Linked DNA regions of Medicago truncatula. The protein of the gene in region 1 interacts with the protein of each later gene in a pairwise test. Links are inferred from orthologs where the notes say so. Each region holds a gene or a part of one and is shown in the gene's direction. Other genes may lie near its edges.

Region 1 (7,446 bases):
ATGACTAGAAGTAGTTTTCATAACCTAATTATTTACTAGTACTAGTTGTGATCTAGGTTTGAATTAGAAACTTGGTCATTGAACGAATGTTATTCGGCTATATTAACCATCTCACCTTTTTTTTTTTTTTTTTTTTATTACAGTTCACTACGTCACCATTAAAATTGATTGGGTTTAACAATTTAAAAAATAGATAGTGAAGTTTAATAATATAAATTATTTAAGTTTGTGATTTTGCTTGTGTTTGTATAAAATGCTGGTTTTAATAGTATAAATTTTTTGTTATTGAAAAAGAAACACATGCAAACAAAAACATGAATTAGAAGGAATAAACAAAACCAACAACCTTTTTGTCAACTCCATTACATCACAACTTAACATTAATTTTTTTGAATGGACACTGCAATTTAACTAAATCTAATTGAGGCCAAATAGTATACAACCTCTTTAATTTTATCTTTATAATCCAATCCAAATAGTATGCATCTGACAAAGTAAGGTGCATGCATTGACAACTGAGTAGTTGGAAACTTTTGATTCATTTTGAATTGACAACAGTGACACCTCAATGTGTCACTCTACAAGGTTTAATGATCTGAAATTTGACTCACCAATTTTAGTTCAAACTTCAAAAAACTTTCAAATATTTTTAGTCACTTTCCATGAGGTTGAACTACTACATCTCACAATTATGAGATAGTCTATTCAATTCTGATATGTGCCTTAAAAGCTAACTCAATTTACTCTTTCTCATTTTAGTAATTCATGCCATGAAATCGGTGCATACCTTTGCACTTTATAGTTTTCTCAGGTTCATGTACATAGCAAAAGTTTCAGTGAGTCAAAGACACCAAGGCATTCCTATTGTGAAATAACAGATTGGAATTGAGGTGTATATATGGTAATATATATTGAAAGAAGACAAATTTTATTTCTTTTAGAGCATGAGCAAAATTTGCTATCTTTGGATAGAATGATGCTACCATGTATCTGCGAAAAAGCTTCTTATATTTCCCTTTGATTCTCAAAGATAATATAAAAACATTCTCCTTTTTACTAAATATAAGATTTCTTTGCAGAAAAAGTGCTTATAAATATAAGCAATATCCTCTAAACAAAAATATAATATAAGTCACATTTTTAAATGGGAAATGTTAAGTATATTAAAATAAACAAAAGAAAAATAGTTCTTGGGATACTAGACAAAAACCCAAAAATCAAAGATGTGCCAATACAATTGCCTCCCAAAAACTTTAGAAAATCCAGTGAGATAAAACATTGGTGAAGAGAAAAAGAGTGCGTCATAACAAAAGCAAGCAAAAATAAAAACATATGAACGAAATCTAAAACAAAGAAGATTCTGACGATTAAGAAATAAATTCTCCTTTGATCGTGTATTTTCTTATAGGTCTATGATTAAGATAATTTATTTTTTCTTTCTACTTTTGAATTACATATTTCAAGTTGCGATTGAACCGATTCCATAGGTTTCTTATGTATCCATAGGTATTATTTGGATAAAAAGGTTCATTCTCTTTGTAAAAAAAGGAGGTAGAACCGATAAAGATTTCTTTTTTTATTTATCTCCAGAATTGACTACCTCATTTACGAATTGTTTAATACAACGAGATAGCGAATCTCACCAAGTAAAATTAGATAGAGAGAATACATTATTGACTATGTGATCAACACAATTGTTTTCTTGTTTGAAAATGTGGCTAACTCTTGTGAGTTGTGATATATACACAATATATTTCATGATAATCATGACCTTATATAAGCTTATTCAAATAAAGAGGAAATCACTTTGATTTTGACAAATATCATATTCACCCTAATATTGCTGTTTTTTCAGGAAAATCAGAGCCCAATAATTTTCATAAGAATTGTATCATTATGTGATTTTGCAATTTCCATGAAAGTGATTTCCAAAACTCCTCTAACGAGTTATAAATAAGCTCTAAAGTAGGAGTGGTTATAATTAATGCACAAGGGAACAAACACACAATCTTTTAGGGCTGTGACAAAATTTTCAAAACAGAAAAGTCCAAAATAAACAATGGAGAGGGAGCTTACAAATAAATGAGATTATAATTGCAAGAAGCCAATAACATCTTTATCTTTATAATAGGCTACAAAAATTGACTTAAAAATAATAATGCAGCAATAAGAGAGGTATATTCACGGTTTTTGATTCCTACCTACCTCACAACTTTCGTTCATTTTGTTTGTGGGACATAGCTATTTATCATAACACGTAAAGAAGTTTCACAAATGTGGTTCTTTGTGAGAGAAAAACTTAGTCCTAGTCACCCTATAAAGTAGGCCCTAGGTTTATAGGAATAAGATTGCAAATGTTAGTTGTTTGCATTAAAGAAGCAAGGGCAATTTTCATATTATAAACCCCACCCCCCTTTAATTCAATGACCTCATGCAACAAAATCTAATCCACTTTAAGATATGTTAGAAGCTAAACCTCTTTGTCAATCTTATAACACAAGGAAATGATGGACTAATTCCTTCGCTTGAATTATCATTCTCTTTTATTTCTCAAGGAAACTAGGGACTAATTTGAAGGATTAATAATAATTTAGGGATTATTTAATATATTTTTATAGTTTGTGGATTAAGTTGACAAAAGTGTGATAATATAGGGATCAAATTGATGGTTTATTCCATAAAAGATAGAGCGTTGCTTGCACTTTTTCTAAAAACAATTGAATTGATCAGTAACTCTTTAAAACACAAGAAATATAAAAGACATTTTTAACTCTGCCTAGCAGCGCAGTTTGTTGTCGGCTTGCCTTCTATTCATGTGTACGGAATTCTTAATATATATAAAAAAAAAAACTATCAATAAAAGGATCGGCTGATTCACAAAATATATTTTCATAAATCATATATAATCAAAGAACTTTTGCTCTTGGTTTTCATATTTTGTTGAATGAATATTATTGACCCTCCAAAATCTAACTCATGGGCAATCACATGGGAGAGAGTTAAGGAAACAACAGAAATAGGTTTTGAATGATATGGATAATACATGGTTAATGCAGAATCCTATAACTCAAATGTGAAGCAAAAATAGATGAGAAGTGACACATGCCTAAAGAGAGCACAGAAAGTGGGGAGGATCCTTTTTTTCATTGGTCAATTTGTTTTGCTGTCTTTCATGAAAGACAAATCCTAATAAGATGCTTCTTTACCTTCTCCTACGTGCCCTTGTGGAAACTTACACCTCTTTCTATTATAGAAAAAATTTCTGCACTTTCATTTTCTTCTAGGACAGAGAAAAGGCTTGGAGAGTTATAAGTGTCAATAAAAGAGAAAACAACACATGAAACAAACAAGTACTTTAACTCATTCTGCGAAGTACCATAGAACTTTGAGCCACTGCAACCAATGGAGAAGTTTGCCAGTTATTATAATAATAACATTCAACCAAATAGGTGAAATTAACATAAACTCTCTTCTCAAGGGTGTGATTGTAATTTTACTCCTAAATTTGTTAAGAGCCCTAATTTGAATGAGCTTATGGGAGGACCTACGTTATGGTATGGTCTGACTATAGCAACACTAGTCCAACTCAAATTTATTTTAAAAAATATTAAACTTTTACAATAGTAGGAGTTCAACGCTAGATTTAATGAAGAGAGTATTGAATTTTTACAATGTGTTGTATGCTTGAGTCAAGTATCATTATTTATAACTTTTGATATGTACAATTTATTAAGAATGATTGAGCTTTATCAAAATGATTTTATGGACGTGCTGGAAGTGGTGGTGCACCATTAGTTTCAGAATTATGTTAGAAATGTTCGAGGTGGCCTCAATTTTACAAAGTTGAAAGGACTTTCAGACCTTTGTGCAAAGTTTGTAAAAATAAACAAGTGCACTGCATTTGATGTGGTGTATAATCTTATGAAATTAGCTTTGGTTTTTCCAGTGGCAACTGCAAGTGTTGACCGTGTTTTATGAGTTATGAAATATGTTAAGAGTGTAACTATCTAAAAACATGAATGATTAATAGTTTTTTTTTTTTTTGAGAGAATGAATGGTTAATAGTTAAATGATCGTATTGTAACTTTTATAGATGAAGGTGTTATTTTAGCTCATTTTCATCAAATGGGTGATAGACTATTTTCTTTGTAAATTTAATTGTTACTTACTACTAATACATAAGTGTTTGTTATTTTTAGTATAATTTACTTTGCCAAAAATTTTAGCCTCACTAACAATTTATTCTTGGGTTCGTCCGTGAATGAGCTAAGGCTTGAAAAACATGTTTATAGTATCCCAAATTCTAATATGGCATCGGAGTCTATCCAAAATTCACCAGGCCACTTATTATTAGGTCACCGCTACCAAATCACCCGAGTTACGCTTCAGACGTCCTGTTGTCGGTGTGAGGAGTGTGTATTAAGAGTGCACATTGGATAAGATAAAGTCTAAAAATGAGTTTATAAGCGGTGGACAATCGTCACCTGTGGATATGGGTAGTCGTCACCTTACAAGCCGGTTTTGTAGGATTAGTAGACCTCAAAAATAAAAAATACAAACAAACCACGTACATCCTTAGCAATGTTGGAGTGGTTTCCGGGAATGAAAATCAGCATTATCTCAAAAATCATTAAAGTGAGAAGATGATTGATTATGAGTGTTCAACTTCAACTATAAATGCTTCATTGTGTCAAAAGAGTTACATTACATCTTCATATCTTATATCCCTTATTTCTCTTCCTTTTCTCTTCACACCAACACCGACTCACCTAGCTACACATTAACACACTCATGTCAACACTAAACCATCTTTTTGATCTTCCGGAACAAATATGCTATGTACAATGTGGATTCTGCAATACCATTTTAATGGTAACCATGAGTTTTCTAATTGCACTTCTTAAGTTCATGATATTTACTTTCAATACCTATTTTTTGTTTTCATTTTCTTCTTTTGTTTTTTAACTGTTTTCATTTCAATTGTGTGATGCAGGTAAGTGTTCCATGCAGCAGTTTGACAATGGTGGTGACAGTAAGATGTGGTCACTGCACAAGTCTCTTATCTGTTAACATGATGAAAGCTTCTTTTGTCCCTTTCCACCTTTTAGCATCTCTTACTCATCTTGAGGTCATAAGTTAAAGTCACATTTCCAATACTTTGTTTATTTTCTTATAGTTAGGTATTTGTATTATATACTAGATATTAACTTAAAAAACTATTTGTGAATATTTTCACTATGCAGCAAAAAGAAAGTAGTAGTCCAGATGAAGATGCAAACAAGACTTTGAACAGTAATACTAGTGCATCCATGATGACTTATTCTGATTGTGAGGAAGATGATGTAATTCCAATCAGCAATGTTGTCAACAAACGTATGTAACAAGAAGATAACTTATTGAGTTTGAAGCAAGTTTAGTATATAGTATATACAATAAAAAAAAATTATTTATTTGATGAATGAATCATTGTTCTATGCAGCACCAGAGAAGAGACAAAGAACACCATCAGCTTATAACCGCTTCATCAAGTAATTAATATGTCACATTAACAAAAGTTACACTTATCATAAACTTGTAAATTTTTTAATTCTAATATTTTGAGTATAATTTTAATGCAGAGAAGAGATTAAAAGGCTAAAGGCTAAAAACCCTGATATGGCTCACAAGGAAGCTTTTAGTACAGCTGCAAAAAATGTAAGGTCTAATTTTCAAAATCACATGATTATATATTGCAGAACCATGTTCAAAACTAACTAGCTATTAGTTCCACTCATTTAAAACTATAGGAAATTTTATAAGATTGGTGAATTATTCATAATCTTGGATTTTTTTTTTATATATATTTTCAGTGGGCTAATTGCCCCCCAACTCAGTGCAAAGGAGATGAAGAGAGCTGTAGCCAGACAGATCAATTTGTGGATCTTGACTCCCAAGTGGACCCCAATGAAGCAGAGGTAAAAACATAATTATTTGAAGATTAATTATCTAAGTTGTTTTCTTATAATTCACATTTAAGAATTATTTTAGCTTATTAAAACTTGCTATAAGTAGGAGATTCTTTAGGTTTGGCACTGTGTGCATTTATAGTGGTACTTGTCCCTTTCTTTATATCACATGGTGAATAGTAAAGGTATAGTCCATGCATTCAATGGTAAAGACTTTATACCCTCATGTTGTTGGTTTCCATTCACCATGACATTGATCCACCAAACTAGAAACTTCTTGCAGATTCTAAATACATTATATTATATTATTGACTGTCAAAAATTACCAAGAATTATAAACTAATATATATATATAGTTTTAAATATAAGTCAAAATTAGTCAAAAAATTTTATGTATTATGTACTAGAAGCAATGAGTCAACAAGAGTACATTTGAATAAGAGAGGCTAAAGTAGCAATATGACACTTCAATAAATAAATAAATACGTACAACAGGATAATACTAATATAAAATGACACAAAATAATCTTGTTATGTCTAGCAAGTCACTTTCATGACATGTAATTTCCATAGAAAACCCTACCTGTTTTTGTAATCTAGCAGTACTTGACAATTTTAATGACTGCATCAATATCACTTTTCAGGTGAATGAAGAAGAACAAGGATTCCGTGGAAGAAAGGTACCAAGAAATTCCATCTTGGAAAGGACACCATTTGAGTGAATGAATGAATAAGAAAGCTCACTCTTCTGCATATATGACAAGGAAGAAAGCTGCATGCATCTAATGAAGTCATTTTCCTTCTGAAAAAAAGAGATGCTCTTGTCTTGGTAATGAAACATGAATTAAGTAGGTTCAATCTAGAGATAACAATTTGTGACACTTTAGAGTTTGTTTAATAATTGACTATTTTATCTGACACCTTTTATCTGTTATCAACTCCATGAATTAGTAGTATTCAGGGTCAAAGAAATGTTTACCAAGTTCTCATGTCTTAAACTATAATAAGAAATTATAATTACAAAAAAAAGAAAAACTATAATAAGAAATTAAATATAAGCCAAACCTCTACAATCATTTTGACTAGAAAAAAAAAATTAAGAGACCGTCCAGGGTTGTTATAAGTGAAGGCCATATATCTCTTAAACAAATTTTGGTTTCAAGTCTTGTGGTTTGGAAAAAATGTAATTGAGAGAGGAGACTTCATTAGTGGTCCGTCAAGTATTCCCTCATATTTTAATCATAAATAAAATTGATAAATACTTTTTTAAAAAGGATAAGTTGATGATTACTTCGCATCAATAACATACTTACTAAACAATCAAAAATGTGTGGGGCTATATTTAATTTATTTATTTTTAGCAAATTACACATGAATAAATAGTAAAAATAGAAAGATTTTTTTAAAAGAACATATATGTTTTTAAACATTTAAAAAATATTATAATAGTTTGAGTTCACTGGAATATTCTGAATAGTTTTTTTAAAAATTTCTTTAGTCG
Region 2 (7,259 bases), on another chromosome or scaffold:
GGATACAAGCGCACATCCTTTCTTAACTCCCATAAAACTTATCCTCATCAAAGCACTGCTAGAACAAACCAACACACCCCTACTGTAAATGCTCCTCCATCGACCACAAATACTCCATTCGTAAATACCATTACTATGAGTCCTACCTCTGAACAAATGCAATCGCAAACACAGACTCTCAGCCCTTCCCCATAACTGACCTCACCACAAGCTTCTAACTAAATAATTTCAACGCATACCCACCTCACTCACCTCAAATGACCACCAGAGCACAACATGAAAATTTTAAGCCTCTAACTTTTTAATCTTTATACCTCATCTCCAAAATCTAATTTTTCTTTGCCCATCAATCCCATTTATGCATTACATGATCATAATTTAAAAATGGCCATGAAAGAAGAATATGACGCTCTTATTGAAAATAAGACGTGGGACTTAATGCCATGCCCATCTAATGCTAATATTATTCAAAGTTTGTGGACTGTCAGACATATATATATATATATATATATATATATATGATAGATCCTTTAAGAGGTGCAAATCCCATCTTGTAGGTAGTGGGGTCAGTTAAAAAAATGGTATTGATTATAGGGAAACCTTCAACCCCGTAGTCTAAGCATCCACTTTTCGGATGGTTCTCAATGTTATTATATCACTAATCATAGTGTTTTCACTAATTAGATGTCGAGAACACATTTTTACAAGGTAATCTTGATAAAACTGTCTACATGTATCAACCACCAGGTTTTCACAATCCTTAACATCATGATTATGCATTCTTGCTAAATAAGTCACTCTTTGGACTTAAACAAACACCTTGTGCTCGATATTAGTGACTTACCCACTACGTTGCTAACTTGGGTTTCTCTAACAACATCTCCAATCATTCCTTATTCATTTGCCACTGAGGTAATGATATAGCTTATATCCTTCTCTATATGGATGATATCATTCTAGCCGCGTCCTCATATTTCCTTCAATAATCCATGACATGTAAATTGCTCTGAATTTTCTATGAAGGATTTGAGTCCTCTTAGTTACTTTCTCGGTATTTCTGTTATCAAACATACAAGAAGTATTTTTATGTCACAAAAGAAATATGTCGAGGAAAATATTGAGCGTGCGGGTATGGCTTCTTGCAAACCATCTGCTACACTAGTGGACACACAAGTGGAACATAGTGTCTCTTTTTGCAACCCATATCATGATCCAAGTGAGTATAGTAGACTTGTTGGAGCCCTACAATACTTGACCATTACAAGACTATGTATCTCTTATGTCACGCTACAAATGTGTTTGTTTATGCATGATATAAAAACAAAACATATGTTTGCCTTCGATATATTTAGGGTACTCTTGATTTTGGTCTCCATCTATATCCTTCCTCCATTTATAAGCTCATCACATATACTGATGCAGATTGGGATGAATGTCTAGACACCATAAGGTCTTTCTGTATATCTTGGGGACAACCTCATCTCTTGTCTACCAAACAACAACCTATATTGTCTTGATCCTATGTTGAAGCTGAATATTGAGGAGTCATGAAAGTAGTATCTGAGTAATGTTGACTTAGGAATATTATTTTGGAATTACATTGTCATGTCTCAAAGGTTATATTAGTATGTCGTGATAACATAATTGTCGTGTATCTCTATGGTAATATCGTTCAACATAAACACACTAAGCACATTGAGATTGATATTCATTCTTCAAAAAAATTACTTGTGGCCAAGTTTGTGTGTTATATGTTCCTTCATGATATGAAATAGTCGACATCTTCATTGAGCACTTTCCACGGCAACTCTTTGATGACTTTTTACCTAGTCTCAACATTCGGCAACTTCCAATTTCAATTACAAGGATGTATTAGAATATGAAAATACATTTTAAATTTTGCATGTATCTTTTATATTTGGTAACATCTTGATAGTCAAGATAGTAACGACTTGGTAATTTTACTACCTAAGATTGTATGTAGCTTCGGCAGCATATGATACTTGCGCTTCTTCATGGAGGTACCACTGTTACCCAGATGGGCTTGTAACCCACAGACGTGGTTCTAAACCCACACCACATGCGTGTTTGTGGCTTCTAGTTTATCATGGCAGTTGGTTCATGGTGGTTTGTAGTTCATGGTGGTGTTGGTTTTTATGATGGATCTCGTCGTGGTTTGTGGCGGTGCTTATGGTGGTTCGTTATAGTTTGTGATGGTAGATTTGAATCGAGATCCAAATTTTCGGTGGCTGGTGAGTTTCACAAGTGTAAATATGTTAAAGTACCAATGTCTAGTTCGTTAGATTAGGCTCGCCAAACCTATCTTCTTTTTCTCTTGTTCGAGGAATTAGGGAGCTGAGCAAGACGTGGAGATTGATGTTGTTGGTTTGGGAGTGAGAATGTTAATGTTGATTTTGTGTGTGGTTGTAAGTTTTAGTTGTGGTGATGGTGATGACGAGTTTGTGGGTTGGTTTTTTTTTTTTTTTTTTTTTGGGGGGGGGGGGGTTTCTTTTGTTTGTCTTCCATTGTCTGCTTGTAGTGACCTTCAAACTGGGTCCATCCCCGCCACTAGCTCTTTTCCCATTGTTGGGTTTTTTTTTATTTTTTTTTATTTTGAGTGTTTATATTTGGATTGACTTTGAGTTGGACTCTTTTTCGAGCTAATTATGTTTGCGCCACCGCTTCCACCTGTCGATTGTCTGAGGGATTTGTCTTCATGATTCTTATGGGCCGATCGCTTTTGCTTGGAGATCAGGAATTAGTATCTAGTTTCAAGTTTTTGGGATATTATGGTGTATTCCAGTGTACTGGAGTTTCAAGGGATGCATTTAGTGATTTCTTTTATGGAGTCTTGTGGAGCGATCACTTTTGCTTTGAGATCAGGATTCTGTTTCTAGACTTAAGTTTTTTTTGTTTGCTTGGTGTTTTCTCTGGCAGGCTGTGTGTCGGTTGCTTGGGCTCATATGAGGTGTGGTTATAGGGTTTTGGTCAGGGTTTTTTTTTTGGAGGAGTTTTGGTGCGAGTAGAAAATTTGGATGAAGTTTTTGTTTTTGTTGGTGTGTCGAGGTTAGACTTTGATTTTGGTGTTGATGGTTAGTTTTTGTATTGAGTTTTGGTGGTATCCCTCGGTTGGATAATATCTCTATTGGTGGTTTTTATGTCTGAGATGTACAAGTTTTCTTTTGATTGTTCAGTCTATATGCAACACTCTTTGTTTGTTGTATTTTTATCTTGTCTGTCTCTATTTATCTTGTGTAAGGATGTTTATTTATAAAATTTTGCCGTTTAAAAATAAAATTAAAAAAGCTACTTAAGATTGTAATTTAAGTACGATACTTGATGTTTGGTTTTACCATAAAAAACACATGCAATCAGAAAAATAACCAAGTTGAAGATGTCTACTCACTTTCTGTTATGTCTATCAACAGTAACAACCATCCTGCATAATCGATTATCTTTTCATCCAACGGTTCACATGTATTTCACGTTTCCAATGAGTCTTTTCATTGTTTCCAACCTAATATTTAGTTTCCTCTTTACAGAAATAACTCTACTATAACTTTTGTTTGAGTTAATTACTAAATGATTTTTATAAATATTCAAAACTTCAAATTTAATCACTACAGAATAAAATTTAATATTTTTTAGTCCATGTAGAATTATTGTCAAGACTTTTAGTCTTCGTAAAATTTCCACCAACATTTTTTTCGTCTTTCTAAAATTTTCTTCAATAATTTTAGTACTTCAAAATGCCAAAGAAAAATGTTACATGGACAAAAAAAAAATGGTTTTAATTTGTATGGATTAAAAGTAAATTCTAAATATTTATACAAATCATTTACTTAATTAAACTAACATACAGAAGCCCTGCGTTTGTTATCAAATCCATCATATTATAAATTTTTGAAGGAAAATGCATCATATTATTATTCACTTAATTTTAAATCTTACAAAAATTACCAACTTAATGGTGTCATATTATTATTCACTTAAAAGCATGTTTTTAAAGAAAAAAATTGTCAATTTATTATATAATAATTTGATAGACTAGATTGATATACATCCAACAATTTGCACCTTTTTTTTAAGGAAACAATTTGCATATTTTATTCTTTTATGTTCATTATTATATATATATATATATATATATATATATATATTTCTGTTGTGTTCTCTCTCTGTTACTACTTTTTTCTACTCTCTTGCTTTCTGTTTTCTCTCCATTCACCACAACCAAACACTTCACTTTTCTCTGCCTGGTCTTTGCACTTGTCAAAGTTTTATTCTTTCTGCAACTTTGAAGAAAAATAAATTTGTTGTTATCTGATTTTTTCACCACAAATGGAAAGAGAATTCCTTGGCTTCAGTTCCAAAAATAGTCCATGGACTACCATGAAAGAAGATGCTTCCAACAAACCAAAAGACCAAGGTATCAATTTTCATCTTTTTCTATTTTCCATGAAATATTTTGCACTAACACCTATTATTATGGCGATGTGAAACTTGAAAATTTTGCATTTTCATTAAATTAACTAAAACAGCTGTTTTTTTTTTTTGTCTTTTATATATATATATATATATATATATATATATATATATATATATATATATTTGGGATTTAAGTTTTATATTTTTATTTATTATTTAATCATGCATGGGGATTTAAGTTTTATGTTTTGAATGAATTTTTGTTTGTTGTTTCAAAGATGAAAAAATGAAGAAAATTTAGCTTAAACTTGTAGATAATAATAAGGGTTATGCTATCAAGTGTCCTAAGGGTATTATTGTTTAACAATTTTATTATAAAATTTTTTATCTTAAAAATATAAGTTGAACACATGTAAAAATAATAATTACACAAATTTTTATATTAAAATTACTACTTTTAATTGTTTAAACAATGTTTTAAAATATTTGTTAACATATTTCCCTGATAATAATATAATAATGAAGAACAAGGAAGAGAAGAATGAATTTGTAGCCTTATGTTCTTTTGCTTTTTTTTCCTTTAATGGATAAGATTAAGTTCAAAAATTTTAAGGTTTCATAGGGTGAACTTGTTTAAGGTTATCTAGTCTAGTTAAAAGACATTTTAGCTGCAATTTGCAGCCTCCTATGCTACATAATTGAATTAATAAGGTAAAGTATATATCATACAGCTACTTATGTTTGCAAGGAAAATCTTATATTAGCACATGGCTAGGGCCATGTGATACTTATGGTTCAAAGTTGATGTTTGATGTGTGGTATTTATTGTTCAAAGTTGATGTGTGATGTGTGGTAGGGAATAGCAACTTGCAACTGTGTTGTAAGAGGGAAGCCACAATTATTGAGCTAGTTGATATATAGTCCATGTGCATATAAGTTTGAATTACATACATTACCACCCATTGCATCAAAAAGAAAAAAAGTGTGTTGTGATATAGGGTCAAAATAAAATAGATGTGGGTCACTTGATATTTTTATTTTACACTTTTTATAACTTTACCCTATTGATAAAAACTGTTTTATTATAAATATTTATTATTTTATTTCTTTTTCATTGATTAGGTTTATGTCATTTTTTCTTTTTTTTTTAATCTATCTTTAGCTCAAACATAAATATTACATTTTATTTATTTAAATTTGATCATAAAATAAATGAATATAAAGTTAAGCTCATGTAAAATCTTAAGACTGATTATTTATAGAAAAATTAAGAGTATAATTTTATTTTAAATAATTTAGAAGCAAATATAGCATCAACATTTCATTTAATTCTATGTATCAATTGGTCGAAAAGGTTCAAATTCAAAGTCATTCATATTGGTGGATGAAGGCAGCTAACATTGTTTATGTGTTCGGGATTCATAGTTGGTTTGCTAGTCCTTTGCTTTGTTTGGGTGTAGGCTACATGTGTTTGATTTTTTTGTCTCTGAGTCTTTTGACTAAACTCTTGTATAATTATGATCGTTCTCTTCTAGCACTTCTTGTGCGGAAGGAACAAAGTCTTTGTTGTTGATATAAGTTTCATTTTTGCCTCTTAAAAATAAAACATTTCATTTAAATTTGTTTTTTTACAAAATTCATTTAGTTTTTTTTTAGAAGGAAACCATTTTTTTATAAAATTATTATTAATTTCTATGTGTTAGTGTTGATCAATGTGGTGTACGTGTCAATGTGAGTGTGAGACACATTTCTTGCTTATAATAATAAATTATAAATTGTAAATGCTATATTTTTTTGGTTAGATGGTTGGTTACAAAACTTATGTTAGAAAACGTGCTCTTGGTTGTTTGGTGGTGCTCTTTATTCTTTATATATTTTATTGCATAACGTGGTCCTTCATTTTCTTGATTTTGATGCAAAATTATAAATATTTAAATGCTTAAAGAAATACATACCACTATCGTATGTTTTTTAATATAAAATATCGTGGATCCTGATGTATGAATGAGAGTCTAAAAAGAATAAAAATATGTGCCTTTATCAATGTATATAAACAAACAAAAAAAACAAATCACCATGTTTAATATTAAATCTAAGGTCTAACATGGGCATTGATGATGCATGCATAGCCTTGAGAAATAAATAACATTTTTTTTATGTTAGTGACAAGCTGGTTGCAAAGAGGTGCACATAAAATATTCATATACAAAGGAAACATTTAATAAAAACAAAGTCATATCATAAATTATTGCAAGCTACTAAGAATAGTACCATTTAGTACATTATATAATTATATTATATGATGATGGACTATGATTAAATAATACTATGCTTCATAAGGAATTACAATTTTTTTTTCTTGCTACTTTTGTTATTGTATTTTAAATTTATATGCCGTACCTGGCCAGTTATTACCTAGATAACAATGAAAATAAACTAATAACAAAGTAACAAGGTCACATGTGATATGATTATATATAATATGTAATATAATCTTTTAAAAAACATGGACTCTGGATTCTTGTGATGAAAGTTCTACAAGAGCATCTTCTAAATATTTTTATGGTAGATTAATTTTTTTATTATTTCATAGCTGTTGCTAAAGTTTTTCTATTTATTTATTTTGATGGGTTAGATGAAATATAGGTTTGTGTGACATATATCATATTCATATGTGTCTATATATATTGAAGTATAGTTTACAACACTTTGTGATCTTAGAAAGCTTGATGAACAAAAATTTCTTAGTAACTTAGATCATTGTCAATATAATCATCATTGTGCTTTTTCTTTGTTTAAAAAGGTATTTTAAATCGATCCAAACTTGTTAT

Evidence for each region. The genes of interacting proteins can lie anywhere in the genome.
Region 2: the proteins of axial regulator YABBY 4 (region 1) and protein TIFY 6B interact in binary tests that used the Arabidopsis thaliana proteins (3 or more experiments, as listed by UniProt). The link is inferred for Medicago truncatula from reciprocal best matches to the Arabidopsis thaliana genes INO and JAZ3.

Annotation. Positions count from the first base shown.
Region 1 is NC_053046.1:14,608,385-14,615,830, forward strand, and holds axial regulator YABBY 4, read left to right. Parts: upstream 1-4,700; 5' UTR 4,701-4,791; coding exon 4,792-4,872; intron 4,873-4,993; coding exon 4,994-5,128; intron 5,129-5,243; coding exon 5,244-5,373; intron 5,374-5,479; coding exon 5,480-5,528; intron 5,529-5,618; coding exon 5,619-5,694; intron 5,695-5,849; coding exon 5,850-5,954; intron 5,955-6,589; coding exon 6,590-6,667; 3' UTR 6,668-6,863; downstream 6,864-7,446. UniProt on the Arabidopsis thaliana protein: Essential for the formation and the abaxial-adaxial asymmetric growth of the ovule outer integument.
Region 2 is NC_053047.1:33,188,250-33,195,508, reverse strand, and holds the start of protein TIFY 6B, read left to right. Parts: upstream 1-4,161; 5' UTR 4,162-4,341; coding exon 4,342-4,429; intron 4,430-7,092; exon of another isoform or gene 7,093-7,231; intron 7,232-7,259. UniProt on the Arabidopsis thaliana protein: Repressor of jasmonate responses. Jasmonoyl-isoleucine (JA-Ile) specifically promotes COI1-TIFY6B/JAZ3 interaction. Acts as a negative regulator of MYC2 function. Feed-back regulated by MYC2.